Linked DNA regions of Stegostoma tigrinum. The protein of the gene in region 2 purifies or fractionates together with the protein of the main gene of each other region. This does not show direct contact. Links are inferred from orthologs where the notes say so. Each region holds a gene or a part of one and is shown on either strand. Other genes may lie near its edges.

Region 1 (6,939 bases), on a different chromosome or scaffold from region 2:
CTGCTGCATCATTGCAGATGTCATCTTTCACATTAAATGTTTAAACCAAGTCCTGATCTGCCAGAATAAAAACCGAAAGAACTGCAGATGCCACCCTCTCGGATTGATGTGCGACTTTAACAGAAATCCCACTGAAGAAAATATTACCCGGTTGCAGCCTCATTTATTGTGTCTGGGATCTGTCTGTGCACAAAACGGCTGCCATGTTTGCTGTGTTCCAAAGGTGAATACTGATGAAAACACTTGGAAAAGTATTTTGCAGCTGTAAGGTGTTCTGATATTCTGAATTTGTGAAAGGCACTCTGAAATTGCAAGTCTGTTTTTCCAGTAACTGAGACAGGTTTAAAAATGCAGAAATCTTTCAACGCGTAATTTTCACAATCAATTTAAATTCATTTAATCATTATTTTTATGTTCTAATGATTGATTTCTCAATTTCTGACACTGATCAGTCTGTCAATTGTTCTCTTAAGATCCTAATGAAATATTTTGTAAAAATTTAATACAGTTTTTAATGCATTTTTATTCCCAATGTTCATTTGTCACCACAATTCTAACCAGCTTGGCTTTTCCCATTCCTACAGCTATTTATGCTTACACTCAACAGAAATAGTTTTCCATCCCGTGTAATATTTAAATCATTCAAAGGTATTTTCCAGAAGATATCAAAACTTAACATATAAAAACTTATCACGGGGCAAACGCGATAGGCAAATAAAATGCAACCAAAACCCCTGCAAATGATAAAAATGTGTCAAAACACAGAAAACTCTGGATGAACAGGCTAGTAAGCCTCTGTGCAAAGAAAACAGGTAATGTATTAATAAGGGGACTGTCCGATAATAGTGACACATCAATTCTACCAGTAATTAAGTTAACCTGAATAAGTCAGTGAATTTTGTACGGTGTGCAGAATTCAGTACATACTGGAATTTGTTGGTCAATTTTACAGGGATTGGTACTGGGTCCACTTTTGTTTGTCATTTATGCAAATAATTTTAGATAAGGATTTGGAAGGCACGGTTAGTAAGTTCACAGATGACACCAAAATTAGTGATATGACGGACAGTGAAGGTGGTTATTTAAGATTACAAAGAGATCTTGATCAATTAGGTCAATGGGTTGAGGTGTGACAGATGGAGTTTAATTTGGATAAATGCAAGGTATTGCATCTCGGTAAAACAAACAAGGGCTGGGACTTATTCAGCTAATGGTGGGGCCCTGGGTAGTGTTGCAGAACAGAGAGGTCTAGAGGTTCAAATACAGAACTCTTTGAAGTTTGCGTCACATGTAGATTACAGCTAATACAGTGAAAAGTTTCAACAGTTGCTTCAATCTGGTGACATTTTCAATCGTTTAAAAATAAAAAGGATGAAAAATATAACTGGAAGACAGTCATGCGTCACCATCCCTCCTCTGCTGCCATGTGTGTCAGACCCATCGATGTGGGAGTTGCCACTCTAAGTGCCATCTCTTTGGTGCTAGAACAACCTTGCCAGGCCACGTGCTGAATCCATACACGCACCCAGAACCAGGCTGGCTCTGCTGCTGTCTCAATGATGCCAGGAGTCCCAGCCTGAGGCATACCACACTGCTGCCGCTGCAGCCACCATCTTGCAAATGCCAAGAGTCCCTGCTCTGGGTATACTGCAACACGGAGACCCTGGCTCCACTCCTAGGCCATGGCCACCGTCTCACAAAGGGTCTGGCTCTGGCTGTCCTCCTGCAAGATATCACCTCGCTGGCACCATCACCTTAAAATCTGCTGCCACTGCTGCTTCCATTTGCTGGAGGAGCTTTGCTGCCACCGCCAGCCCTAAATACGGGAGGACGTCCCTGTTGCCACTGCAGCCACGGCCTCCAGTTGCTGTGAAGAACTGTGCCCACTGGCAGGAGCCACCACCAAACCACTGTCAAAGCTGCCACACTGATCTCGCTGACTAATCTGCTGCAAAAGGGCTCCAAAGAAAAATGAAAGTAAAAGAGCAGCAGTAAAAAGAAATAAAAGATGGAAAGCAGGCTGGAGCGGATCAACCCCGGGCAAGATCCCGCACACTGCCCTGCCACTCTGCTGTTATCTTCAATCTGTTGGACGTCATGTTGAGGTTGTACAGGACATTTGTAAGGTCTCATCTGGAGTACATGTTCTGGTCCAGTCGTCCTTCTACAAGAAGAACATTATCAAGCTGGACAGGATTCAGGAAAGATTTACCAGGATGTTGCAGACACAATAAATGGAGAGTTTTAGTTATAAGGAGAGGCTGGATAGACTGGGACTATTTTCCTTGGAGCATAGAAGGTTGACAGGTGACCTTGTAGAGGTTTATAAAATCATGAGGGCTATAGATAAAGGCGAATGGTAGGTGTCTTTTCCCCAGGGTGGGGGATTTCAAGACTAAGGAGCATATTTTTAAGCTAAGAGGATAAAGATTTAAAGACATGAGGGGCAACTTGCTTACACAGAAGTGGTTTGTATGTGGAATGAACTGCCAGAGGAAGGGGTGCATGCGGGTAAAATTACAATGTTCAAAAAACATTTTGATAAGTACACGAATAAGAAATGTTTGGAGGGATATGGGCCAAGCGCAGGCAGATGCGACTATTTTAGTTTAGGGTTATGGTCAGCATAGACTGGTTGGACCAAAGGGTCTATTCATATGACTGTGTGACCCTATTACTGGATGTATGTATCACACGTCGATGAGCACTACCCTGAATGATGGAAAGAACATGAAGTTCAAGCTGGAGCAAGGCATCTGTCTTCTAGATGAAAGGGGATGTAAAAGGTCTCATGGCACTATTTTGAAGAACAGGGGAGCTCTTCTCAATGTCTTGGGTCCAACATTTATCCCTTAATCAATATCACGAAAAGCACTCTCTGCTCCATTTACTGTGCTGTGGGAGCTTTACACTGTGTGCAGATTGTTTACCTTTTGTACTCTGACTGCATCTGCATTTCCAAAGCACTTTCTTGGCTCTTGAAGAGCTCCAAAGCACCAACAGTTGTGAAAGTTGCTGTTAAGAGTGCAAGTTATTTCATATATACACAAAATCTATCTTTGTGCATGTTTTGAGTTCTAGCTATGCGTCGACATTGAAATCATAGGTTTTCCCCCAATTTTGACATGTCTTGAAGATAGAATTTTGTTGCAAGCAATTTTTCAGCAAACTGTCTGGTGGCATTGTATGGTAGAAATAGAAACACTGTTGAAGAAACTTGGTACTGAGTCAGTTATGATTCTTCTTCAAAGAGTCACATCATTGTGGAATCATAACAGACCCGAAACTGTTTCTTTTGTGATAAGGTGCAGAGCTGGATGAACACAGCAAGCCAAGCAGCATCAGAGGAGCTGGAAGGCTGACATTTCGGGCCCAGGCCCTTCTTCAAAAGGTTTCTGCTGTGTTCTCTGAGATTAGAATAGGGCTAACCTTTCAAATCCGATAGCTTCAAAGATGAGTCAATATCGGACGCTAACGGTTGACTCTGTGTTTCTTTCTCTCCGCACAAATGCTGCCAAACACACGTGAGTTACTCCAGCGCTTTGCTATTCATATTTTCCTTTTGGCAGTTTATCAGCGGCTAAAACTTTTTTAAAAAGGTGTATTTTCTTCTGGGGAAGGGTCTCCGGACTGGAAATGTTAACTTTGCACTCATGCTGAGTTGCTCCGGCACTTTGTATCTTTTGTTTCACATGTGCAACAGCCACAGTTCATTGAGAAGCGCAATGTCTAAAATGCAACTCGGACAAAGTGCCCCGCGGCACCACGTGCACCGGGAAGGCGAGCACGGCGCGCGCGCACACCAACCTCCTGGGCCCTCACTGGCGGCGCGTACGTACGCGGATGGGTGCGCGCGCACGTACGTACGTACCTCCCGCCCTCCAACCCTCCGATTGGCCGCCGCTCGGTAGCCCGGAGCCCGGATGTGGGCAGGGGCCCGGCTATAAATAGGAGCGGCGCCGGGGCGGGAGCGCAGAGCGGTTTGAAAATCCGGGGCCGGAGGATACGAGGCGGTGATGGTGAGGAGGCAAACAAAATGTTGTCTAATTTTAATTTGTGAAAATAAGCGACAGATCCGCGGTCGCAGACAGGGGTTTGGGGGGGGGGAAAAAAACATCTCGACCACAGGACGCAAACCGGTTTTATTTTTTTTTACCTCTTGTTGCTATTCTCTGATAGGCTGGCGGTAAAGCGGGTAAAGACTCCGGCAAGGCGAAGACCAAAGCGGTTTCCCGCTCACAACGAGCAGGCCTCCAGGTCAGTGCGGTTTCCCCGCGTCCATTACCGCCGCCTCCCTCCCACTGACTGACTGCAGTAGGGTCCAGCCTCGCACGGGCGGCGCGAGAGGAGGGAGTGCGGGCGGGCGCTTCTCTCAATGTTTTAGAACACGCCCCTCCCCCTTCTCCCTCCGGGAACCGGCTGCGGCCGGAAATGTCTTCCCTTCCCTCCCCTCCCCCCCCCCCCCCCCCCAACATATAAATATAGCGTTTCACGTCGCGGACGTTTGCTTTTTGTTTTCTGCCGGCCGTCTTTTCGTTTCCCCCCCCTTCTAAATCTATTTATTTTTACAGTTCCCAGTCGGTCGCATCCACCGACACCTGAAGTCCAGGACCACCAGCCACGGGCGGGTGGGCGCCACGGCAGCGGTTTATAGCGCGGCCATTCTGGAGTATCTGACGGCCGAGGTGAGTGTGTGGGGGGTGGGGAGCGCGTTACAGGCCGCGGCTCCATGACCAGCAGGTCCGTCACCGGATATGTTCCGTGTTGCCGGCTGGTAGGGTTCGAGGCGACTGTGTTCCGGCTTTATTTGGAGTCGGCCTTGCCGAATGGTCGGAGTGAAAGGTTCCGGTCTTATTACTTCCCTTATCGGGGGAAGGGTCATCGGACCTGAAACATTAACTCTGATTTCTCTTAAAGGTTGCTGCCAGACTTGCTGAGCTTTTCTCAGCAGTTTGTTTTTGTTTGATTTACAGCGTCCGCAATTTTTGGTCATGATTTCCTTCACTGTTCAGGTTTAATAATTAAATCTTCAGTCGTGTCTACTTGGGATCCTTCTGCAATCTCCTGTTCAGTCGAGCTGCATGTGGTTGCTTTGATTTTTGGAAATGGTTTCCCTACCCCTGACAAGTGATATTTGATATTGTATTTGATAATAGTTGAACTGCATTTCAAACCTTGGATTGTTACTCCCTTTTTAAAATTCATGATTCTTGTGTTGAAGTTCCCCCCCACCCTTGGTCTCTAATGCCTAACAACAACTAGTCTGTTTTAAGTTTTCAAGATAAAATGTGGGGCTGGATGAACACAGCAGGCCAAGCAGCATCTCAGGAGCACAAAAGCTCCTGAGATGCTGCTTGGTCTGCTGTGTTCATCCAGCCCCACATTTTATTATCTTGGATTCTCCAGCATCTGCAGTTCCTATTATCTGTTTTAAGTTTTCACTTGACTTTCCCTCAGAGGGGGGAACATTGAGGACTCCAAAGCATTAACTGATTTCTTTCTTTCCTGATGTTGCCATGCAGGCAAGTTTCTCCACAATTTTATTATTTTTATCTCCCTACACTTACAATACAAAGCATAACATTCACAATATCCTTCACTTGATTGCAGTAAATTTATATTAATACTTGATCTCTGGACTCAATTTTTAAAATTTGTTTGTTAAACAGCAGTGCTGTTTTTAATACCTTACCTGTTTTGTCAGGTACTAGAGCTTGCAGGAAATGCATCCAAAGACTTGAAGGTAAAACGCATTACCCCTCGCCACTTGCAACTTGCCATTCGTGGGGATGAAGAGTTGGATTCCTTAATCAAGGCTACCATTGCTGGTGGTGGTGAGTTAACATTTTAATTCAATAAACACTCAACTGTTAGAATTTTCTCTTCCCACAAAATATTGTTCTTCTGTGCTGTGGTGTCTTCCCTGCTGATTTATCTTTTTGTTTTCAGGAGTCATTCCTCACATTCACAAATCCCTGATTGGCAAAAAAGGACAACAGAAGACTGTTTGATGGTGGAAACTTCCTTTTTGGTTCACTAGTCTCAGGACTCCATCTCCAAATAATCAGCTGTAGAATGTTGGAGGATCTGACTGGAAAGACACTGGACTTCTGAAATGTGATTACATAGACATTTTTATCTCAATAGTATTCAGGGGAGGGGTCTTTTAAAAAGTAAAGCTCAATAATCAAACTTCCATGTGCACTAGTCTGGGAAAGCCAAATCTGGGACCATATCCTCCAAGGTGGGACTGTACCTGGGTGACCTGGAGTTGTTTCCTGGTTACTGCCTTTTCATAGCATCTCTGTTGCAGTATTTTAAATGCAGGAAGAGCTCACTGCTTGTATGACTTTTATTTTTGAAGTGGATTTAAATCCAGATGGTTTGTTCTGACTGTTTGTTCTGTCTATTGGTGTATGAAGTTTTCAATAAAATGTATTAAATGGCTGTGTGACTTGTCTTTTTAATTTGGGAATGCAAAGATCCCTAGCTAACCATTGAAGATAGTTTGTCCAGCATTAAAAAGCTCTGTCTAATGGCATTGATCACGTAACAGCTGCCAAGTGTTTCTTAATATACCACTGCATTTTGCAATTTCCTTGGTGTGAAACTTTTTGAAAGGTTTAATTCTGATGCTTTGACCTGTTTCTTTGCCTTTTTTCCAATAAACTGCAACAATATATGGTCCCCATCAAACAGCTTGTGCTATTTTGCTGCAAACAAATCCTGGCCAAAGATCTCATCCTGTTATACTTATTAGCAAGGCTATAACAGGATAATTTGCTTTGTACAGTGAGGTCAGTATTTAACTCGGTCACTGAACTGTAGAAATTCAAGTGTGGGTGCATTTATTCATGGGAATAACTTTAATAAGCTGAAATGTGGCTGGATTAAGATGTAAACAAAGTTTGTCATCAAGCTTTTACCAGATGGTGAACA
Region 2 (7,930 bases):
AACATTAAAAATAAGGAACCACATTATTTATAGATAACGACATGTGAAGCTGGATGAACACAGCAGGCCAAGCAGCATCTCAGGAGCACAAAAGCTCTGATCACATTATTTATACCTAATTAGACAAACATGAGAACCATATTTCAAAGTGATAGCCCCAGCTCCAATGGACACACACACACACAGAGCACCCTCTGGATGAAAAAGATGAGCCTTAGGTCTCTTTTATACCTTTATAACTATGCCCTCTAGTTTTGAGTTTCTCTACCCTGGCAAAAAAAAACCTTGGCTATTCATCCCATCCCACATCTCTGACTCTATAACTGGTACCACAAACTGTCACTGCAAAAATGAGAGTGGAGAAGCTCTGCTGACACTGGTGCAGAACTATCTGCCCTCTTCAGTATAATAACCTTACATGTGCCTCAAGGATTCTGGACTCCAGAAAGCCAATTAAGCTATTTGGGGATATTAGTTGAGGGTTAAACATTTGCCACAATGCAGGGAGAGAGATCTTCCCACCCCATCCTGCAACACTTACGTCAAAGAATTCTTTACATTCAGCCCAGAATTCACGTGGAAGTCTGATTTTAGGTTTCATGTGAAAAATGTGGCACATCCACCTAAAACAGGGTTGGTGTTTAATATCGCACTGACAGGTAATAAATCACAATAAAAATTCTCATGTGGAATTTCACTCAAGCGTATCAACTTCGTCAAAGAGTGGTACAACAAGTGCATATCAAAAGATCTAAAATAAAAGAAGCATTTGCCCTTGCTTACAAATATTTATTGCCCAAATCAAAAATCACTGGAACAGCAGTGTTATTGTTGCACCTTGTATGACATTGTTGCTCGAGTTTCCCCACATTTGAAAAGTAGTGCATAGCAAAGGTTTTCAACTGCTGGAACAGAAAACACCAGTGCAATGTAAATTAATTCCGTTTACTTATTTTGAGCATCTGATTCACAAAGCCAAGCACAAATAGGCATAAGAATCTTTTTGGAAAACTAAAATCCTAACCTTAAGATACATAGATAATAGGAACTGCAGACGCTGCAGAATCTGAGATAACAAAGTGTGGAGCTGGATGAACACAGCAGGCCAAGCAGTATCCCAGGAGCACAAAAGCTGACGTTTCGGGCCTAGACACTTCATCAGGGGAAAAAAAAACCTTTTTTTCTGTTACAGACTACAAACACAAGGAAGTAGAACCAGATATCCACAAATGAAGACCAGTACTGTAGTTTGCCAATGAGTTGAAATGAATTCCTTTGAGGTATTCTGTCTGCAACCCCATATTTTAGTTACTGATGTACATCCAGTAGACTGTCATCTTAAGTAATAGCTTGAATGCATTTTGTTTAATTGTGTCAGTAAGCTCATTCAAACTGTGGGAAGTGCAATATTGTATTTCCCAGGTGTTGAAAATATTTTGAGCCCCCAATTAACTATGCACTGATGTTAACAGCAACTTCAGAATTTCATGCAAGAACATTTATTTGGTAATAACAGATTTGGCTAATGGTACATTGCTATCAAATCAGCAAGGTTAGGTGACAGTAATTAAAGAATTCACTGCTCCTCTATTTAGATTAGATTAATGCCAAGTTCCAGCAATATCATATTTCTGACTTTAACAGAATCCTATTCACATAATAAGCCATCCTGACTTTAATCCAGCTCCTTGCCTGACAAGTTCAGTATACTTCATAATACAAACCATAACTATGGTACTGAATCTGAAACTATGACTATTTTTCACCTTGACAGCCTCACAACTGCAACTATCTGTGTAACATCTTGCTTTACAGATCACGATGTGGGAGATTTTCCAAAAGCCTCAAAAACACGATGACATTCAACCGCTAGAATTCTTATAAGTTACACTTCACATTATTGCTTCACAATAAACTAATTTTGCATGTCACCCATGAAACTAACTGTGGATACGACGGATGTGGAATAAAACAGTCGGAAAAACAACTATAAGTCTCACGGTCTCTGCACAAACTTAGCTGTAGTAGTAATCTGCATTATAAAGGAGGAGTCTTCCCGCTGTCCATACTCGGGAACTGCACAACAGGTCACAACTGGCGCACGTGCTGAGATTAAAAACAGTGATACTTTCACAATGATCTCTGTTCAGCGAGATGTTGTGAAGCACCATTTTGCAAGTCAACTTACACACGGAACATATAAAACAAGAGAGCAAATAAAAACAACGCCCATATATACGGGAGCTAGAACTGAGTGAAATACAAATTTGTCTACAATACAATAATCCACAACTCCCAACACCCCAGGCAAAAAAAATTCAGGCTCTCTAGCGCCACCCTCCTACTGGAGTTGGTTGTTGCCGAGATCGTGCCCAACCCAGAGAGAAACACAACAAAATGGCTGCCTCGCCAGTCACGTGATCTTTTGTACACCGAGGGGGTAAAAATAATATCTTTCGTAGACAAGGAACAATATCCTTCTCGCCCACCCGCTCAGCGGGGTGAAAAATCAACGGGATAGGACCTTCGATTGTTTCAAAATAACAAAAAGAAACAAGGAGGGCGGCCTCCCTCCCGAGCGGAGGAATAAAGTGTGGGTGGTTCCGGGGCCCGTCTCTCCGTTTCCGCGGCCCGGCCCCATGTTTGGGAGGAAGCGAGCGAGAGCCGTGTAATGGCGGCCGCGCAACCTGCGCACACAGGCAACACCTCCCGCCACCAACTACCAGCCCACCACTAACACCCCCCCTCCCCCGAGGCCACAAAACACGTCCGAATAAAATGATTTTTAAAACTCCTTTCGTCAAAAAAAGACGGGCATGTTTTTTAAAAAAACAACCAAACCCGCCCCGTGTGCACCTACCGATTCCTCCTCCTTCTCCATCCCCGTGGGCATCTGGGGCACCGCTCGGTTGATGGAGGCATATTCGTGCAGATCCGGCAAATCCTCGCACCGATACACGGGCAGAGGTTTCGATGCATCGAGCGCCCTTGCCCGAAACGACAGTTTGCTCATTATTCTCGGCTCTCCCTCGGTTTGTATGTGCGTGTTCGCGGCGGATTAGAAACCCAAACACCACCGCGGGAGAGAGAGAGAGAGAAAGAGGGGAGGGGAAGGAGAGAGGGAGGGAGGGAGGTTGTAGTTGGAAGGAAAATATAAATATATATATATATAAAATGCGTTTTTTTTAGTCGCCGATGAAATGTTGACGCCTACACCCAGTAAAACCTACACGGAGCCTCCCGAAACCTATCATGGATGAAAGATTGGAGATCCTAGTTCCATTCCGTGAAGAAAAAACGGGGGTTGGAAACGGAAGAAAGGCGGTTTTTCCCCCGGTCCGTTTAGGTTCCTTTTGTCGACTTCAATACGCCATGGCCAACATGGCGGTCATTAAAGTCCAGCCATCCCACAATGCACAGCAACAGGGACGAGGCTCGGCCGAGCTGCGCGCGCAACGGCCCACAACCCCCCCCCCCCACTTCAACCGGCCGGCGGTCGGTTAGTGCGGGAGGAGAATGTTGCTGCTCCGCTGGGCACCCGGCACTAACGGCTGCCTTGGATTTCTACCGGGTTGTTTTTCTCCCCCCCCGCCTAGCAGCGAGTCAAGCAGCCCACCCCCTCCCTTTTGCAGGATATGCTGTATAAAACCTCATCTCCCATTCTCCTCCCACCCTTTTGAAAATGTTTTCGAATTCTCCTCCCCCGCTCCCACCCGGTTAATATTTGTGTTTTCGGCTCCACGGAAAACAAAACTTCGCTTTCAGTCCGAGCCTGCGTTTCTTGGCTCCTCTTTTTGAAAGAAATGCACAAGTCGTTATCACAACGATTGACTATTGTCTTTTCGTTTCCCTTCCAAGTTTTTTTTCCATCGTTTCTGTTCGCTTCCTAATTCAACTACGCCACAACATGGATACCCTCAGTCACAACAACTTTACAAGAAGCTGTTGGAAACGGCGCCCTCTACAACACGAAGTGCCAGCGTTTGGTTTTTTTTAAATGGTCTGCTGGGAAAAGGGGAATGTCACATGTCTCATAATAATAACTACAGTTCAAAACTCAATGGGCAGGTTGTAATCTGTCACAGGGTATTGCGCAATTCGGCGTAAACAATTGCAAAGCTTCCTGCTAGTCTTGATTGTTTGTACTGCACAGAGACAGTAAGGCTACTTGTCGAATCAAAAAGATGTTCAAGGCAAATCTGGCAATGTATATGACACCGTGAATCAAATCAAACAATTCAATGCCCATAAAACGGGATTTCGGTTTTTGAATTCATCCGAGCACGAAGTTTGACCATTTTTAAACTTAATTATTATTCTGAAACAGTATGTCACCATGCACAATTAGGCAAATTGACGTTTCAACAAAAATCTAAATGCCACTCGGTGATTTACTATTGTTTATGACATTTAAAGGCAGAGGTAGGTAGATTCTTGTTAAGCAAAAGGGGTGAAAGGTTAGTGGATAGATTGTAGATTGAATGGTAAAGCAGGTTCAAGGGGCTGAAGGGCCTGCACCTAGTTTGGTTGTAATGATTCCACACCAATTCAACGTTTCCAAAACAAAAAAACCAAACATTAACTCATGTTGTGAAGTACAGAATTTAACTACATTTTTGTTACAACACCAAATCAAACTTTTATATTTAAAGTCATTAAAAGACATCAATAAATTGTGATTTGCTGGTGAAAAATTATAAACTTCAAAGTGTGGTACATCAGACATGCAGACAGCTGAATCTTCAGTTTTAATTTAACCTACATACAACTAATGAAATTTCCCACGTCTGTTCTGGAAATCAGTAATGAACGTCAATAGAGTTTTATCAGATTGAATTGATACACAAGTATACTGAATATTTAATTTCCATTTGTTCCAATTTTTCATTTACAAGCTAATCTTATTTTGCAGTTTGTTATCTAGTAACTCTCAATAGGTTGTACTATTTTTGCAATGAGCTTATGCTGCCAATGTGCTTTATATATAAATATAGAAAACAGCGTTTTACTGACATTCAAATGATTGAATCACTTGACGGATTACATTGTTTAATGCACCAGCAGTTTACAGTCAGCGACAAATTGATGGAAGGGATCATCAATAGCACTATCTAGCAGCACTTATGTTCCAATAATCTACTCGCCAATAAGAATTTGGGCCCTGCCAGGAATTGAATTCCAGATTTAGTTAGTCTTTGTCAAACACAGAACAAGAGCTGAATTTCAGATGAGAGATGAGTGTGACTGGCCTTTATATGCAGGCAGGACTTGACCAACATGACACCAGGGCCTTAACAAAAAACTGCAGTCAGTCAACAGGAATCAGGGACAAAACTATCCAATAATTGGAGTTACATTTGCAGAAAGGAAGATGATTGTAGTTCTGGAAATCAACCATCTCAGTCCCAGCACATCACTACAGAATCACAACTGTTACTGTGCAGAAAGAGAGCATTCAGCCTGTTGTGCCAGTGTCTGATTTCTTAATGAGAAACTCAGCCATTTCCCTGTAATCTCACATTTTCTTTTTGGAATATAATCCAAATCACTCTTTAAAGCCTTAATTGAAGTTTGTCTCAATCTCTGTCTCCACCACAATCTCAGTCAGCATTTTCCAGATATTAAATCACTCAATACAGAAACAAAATCCTTTCATCACCAATGTACATTTCTAGTTACCAGAAAGCTGTGCCCTCTCTTTTGTTACACAATGGCAAGTGTTCCCTTCATCAGTTGTGTCCAGTCTCCGTATTTGAAAATCTCTATCCATCTACCTCTTAACATTCAAGAAAAGCCATACAACTGTCTGCAATAAACTTTAGTTCCTCATGCTTGGAACCATTTTGCAAATGTTTTTTGTAGCTATACCAACATCTTCACATCATTCTTAAAGAATTGGTCACAATACTCCAGTTGAGGCCAAACCAATGTGTTATAGAAGTTTAACATAGTTTTACTTTTGTGCTCCATGGTCCTGTAAATAAAGCCTAGGATACTGTTGTTTATTAAGAGTTCTCAAAACGGTCGTGCCACCTTCAATGACTTGTGCATATCTCTTAGGTCCTATAGGTAATTTGGAACTGTATCCTTTATTTTGTTCTGTCTCTATGCTCTTCCTGCCAAAATGAATTAGACTTGACTTCACTGCATTAAATTTCATCTGCCAACTTTCTGGCCATTGCAACAACCTATTTTTGTACTTTTGAAGTTCAATTTTATTCTCTTCAATGTTCATAATACTTCCAAACAACATTAATGATCAGAATGAAGGAATGGAGGGCATTATGTCATCTGCAAGCTTAGCAATAAAGATAGGTGTAGGGTTAGGCCACATTGAGGAAGCAGGAAGGCTGCAGAAGGACTTGGATAAGCTAGCAGTGGACAAAGAAGTGGTAGATGAAATATAATGTGAGAAAGTGTGAGGTCTTGTACTTTGGTAAGAAGAAGAGGCATAAACTATTTCTCTTAATTTTAACACGCAAGTTCAGGTGGCAGTTAGGAAGCCAAATGCAAAGTTAGCATTTATTTATTTCAAGAGGGCTTGAAAACAAAGCAAACAGGAATAAACTGCTAAGGCTCAACCACATTTGGAATATTGAGGGCAGTTATGGGCTCTGTGTCTTAAGGAAGGATTTGCTGGCCTTGGAGAGGGTCCAAAGGAGGTTCACAAGCATGATCCTGGGGAATGGAGGGCTAATCTCAAGAGGAACAGTTGAGGACTCTAGGTCTGTACTCTGGGGGTTTAGTAGGCTGTGGCGGAGGTGGGGGGGGGGGAGAGGAGATGTCAATGAAACTGAAAAGAATATTAAGAGACCTAGATAGAATGGTCGTAGAGAGGGTGTTTCTAGAATCACAAAATCGCCACACACCAATCCCCTGTTCAGCATCCCAACCAGACCCATCCCCCTCTACTAGGGCCCAAGGGCATAGCATCATAGACAAGACAACCCTTTAGAATGTAATGAGGAGGAGTTTCTCAGCCAAAGGATGATAAATCTGTGGAATTCATAACAGCTTTCAGTGGCAGGGGCCAAGTCACTGTGTGCATTTAAGACAGAGATAGAGAGATTTTTGATTAGTAAGTAGATTGAGGGGAGAGGGAGGAGAATGGAATTGAGAAACATATCAGCTACGATAAAATGGCAAAGGCAACCCAAATGGACCATATGGCTGAATTGTCCTCCTATATCTTTATGGTCTGATACACACACCTTGAGAATTCTGCCATAAATCTTCCTGCAGTCAGAAAAACATCCACTGAACACTATCTCCCATCACTCAGCCATTTTCAGAACCATGTATTTTTGTCCCTTTTATTCCAAGTGCTGAAACTTTGTTCATAAAAATTTGTTGTGTGGCACTGTGTTAAATGACTGCACACCCACTTGTGCCACATCAACAGCATTATCCTCATTGACCAGCTCAATTAACTCTTCAAAAGACAAACGTAAGTATTAGTTAAGCAAAGCTATCCTTTAACAAACTATGCTGGAATTTTTTAATTAATCCAGATTTCCCAAGAGACTTTTGTCTTGAATTATTGTTTCAGAAGCTTTGCCATCAGCGTTGTTATAGGACTCGCATATCGTTGCTAAACTCATCTTTACATTTAAAAGAAATGTTGCAATTCTCCAGTTCTCTGATAATCACCTGAGTCAAAGAAAGATCGTAAAATTATAGTCAATGCCTCCAATTTCTATTCTCACCATCTCTGGTGTCCTTGGATCTCTCTTATTCAGTCCTGAAGCCTAACCAACTGTAAATAAAAAGACTGACTCCACTGCCTCCTGTTCATCGATTTCAAACTAAGTATTTGAATTATCTCCTTTCACCACGACCTGGACAGTATTTCTTCTTTTGGTAAAGACTGACATTAAATTTCCAGGCATAAATCCCCTTTTTGGGCTCTGATTGGTCCCATCCTGGTTCT

Evidence for each region. The genes of interacting proteins can lie anywhere in the genome.
Region 1: the proteins of enhancer of polycomb homolog 1-like (region 2) and histone H2A.Z purify together in Homo sapiens (affinity purification with mass spectrometry; 4 studies listed by BioGRID and IntAct, with this or other methods). This does not show direct contact. The link is inferred for Stegostoma tigrinum from reciprocal best matches to the Homo sapiens genes EPC1 and H2AZ1.

What each region holds. Positions count from the first base shown.
Region 1 is NC_081354.1:4,080,753-4,087,691, forward strand, and holds histone H2A.Z, read left to right. Parts: upstream 1-3,920; 5' UTR 3,921-4,016; coding exon 4,017-4,019; intron 4,020-4,179; coding exon 4,180-4,257; intron 4,258-4,571; coding exon 4,572-4,685; intron 4,686-5,704; coding exon 5,705-5,834; intron 5,835-5,949; coding exon 5,950-6,011; 3' UTR 6,012-6,447; downstream 6,448-6,939. UniProt on the Homo sapiens protein: Variant histone H2A which replaces conventional H2A in a subset of nucleosomes. Nucleosomes wrap and compact DNA into chromatin, limiting DNA accessibility to the cellular machineries which require DNA as a template.
Region 2 is NC_081355.1:128,371,912-128,379,841, forward strand, and holds the start of enhancer of polycomb homolog 1-like, read right to left. Parts: upstream 3,088-7,930; 5' UTR 3,014-3,087; coding exon 2,861-3,013; intron 1-2,860. UniProt on the Homo sapiens protein: Component of the NuA4 histone acetyltransferase (HAT) complex, a multiprotein complex involved in transcriptional activation of select genes principally by acetylation of nucleosomal histones H4 and H2A.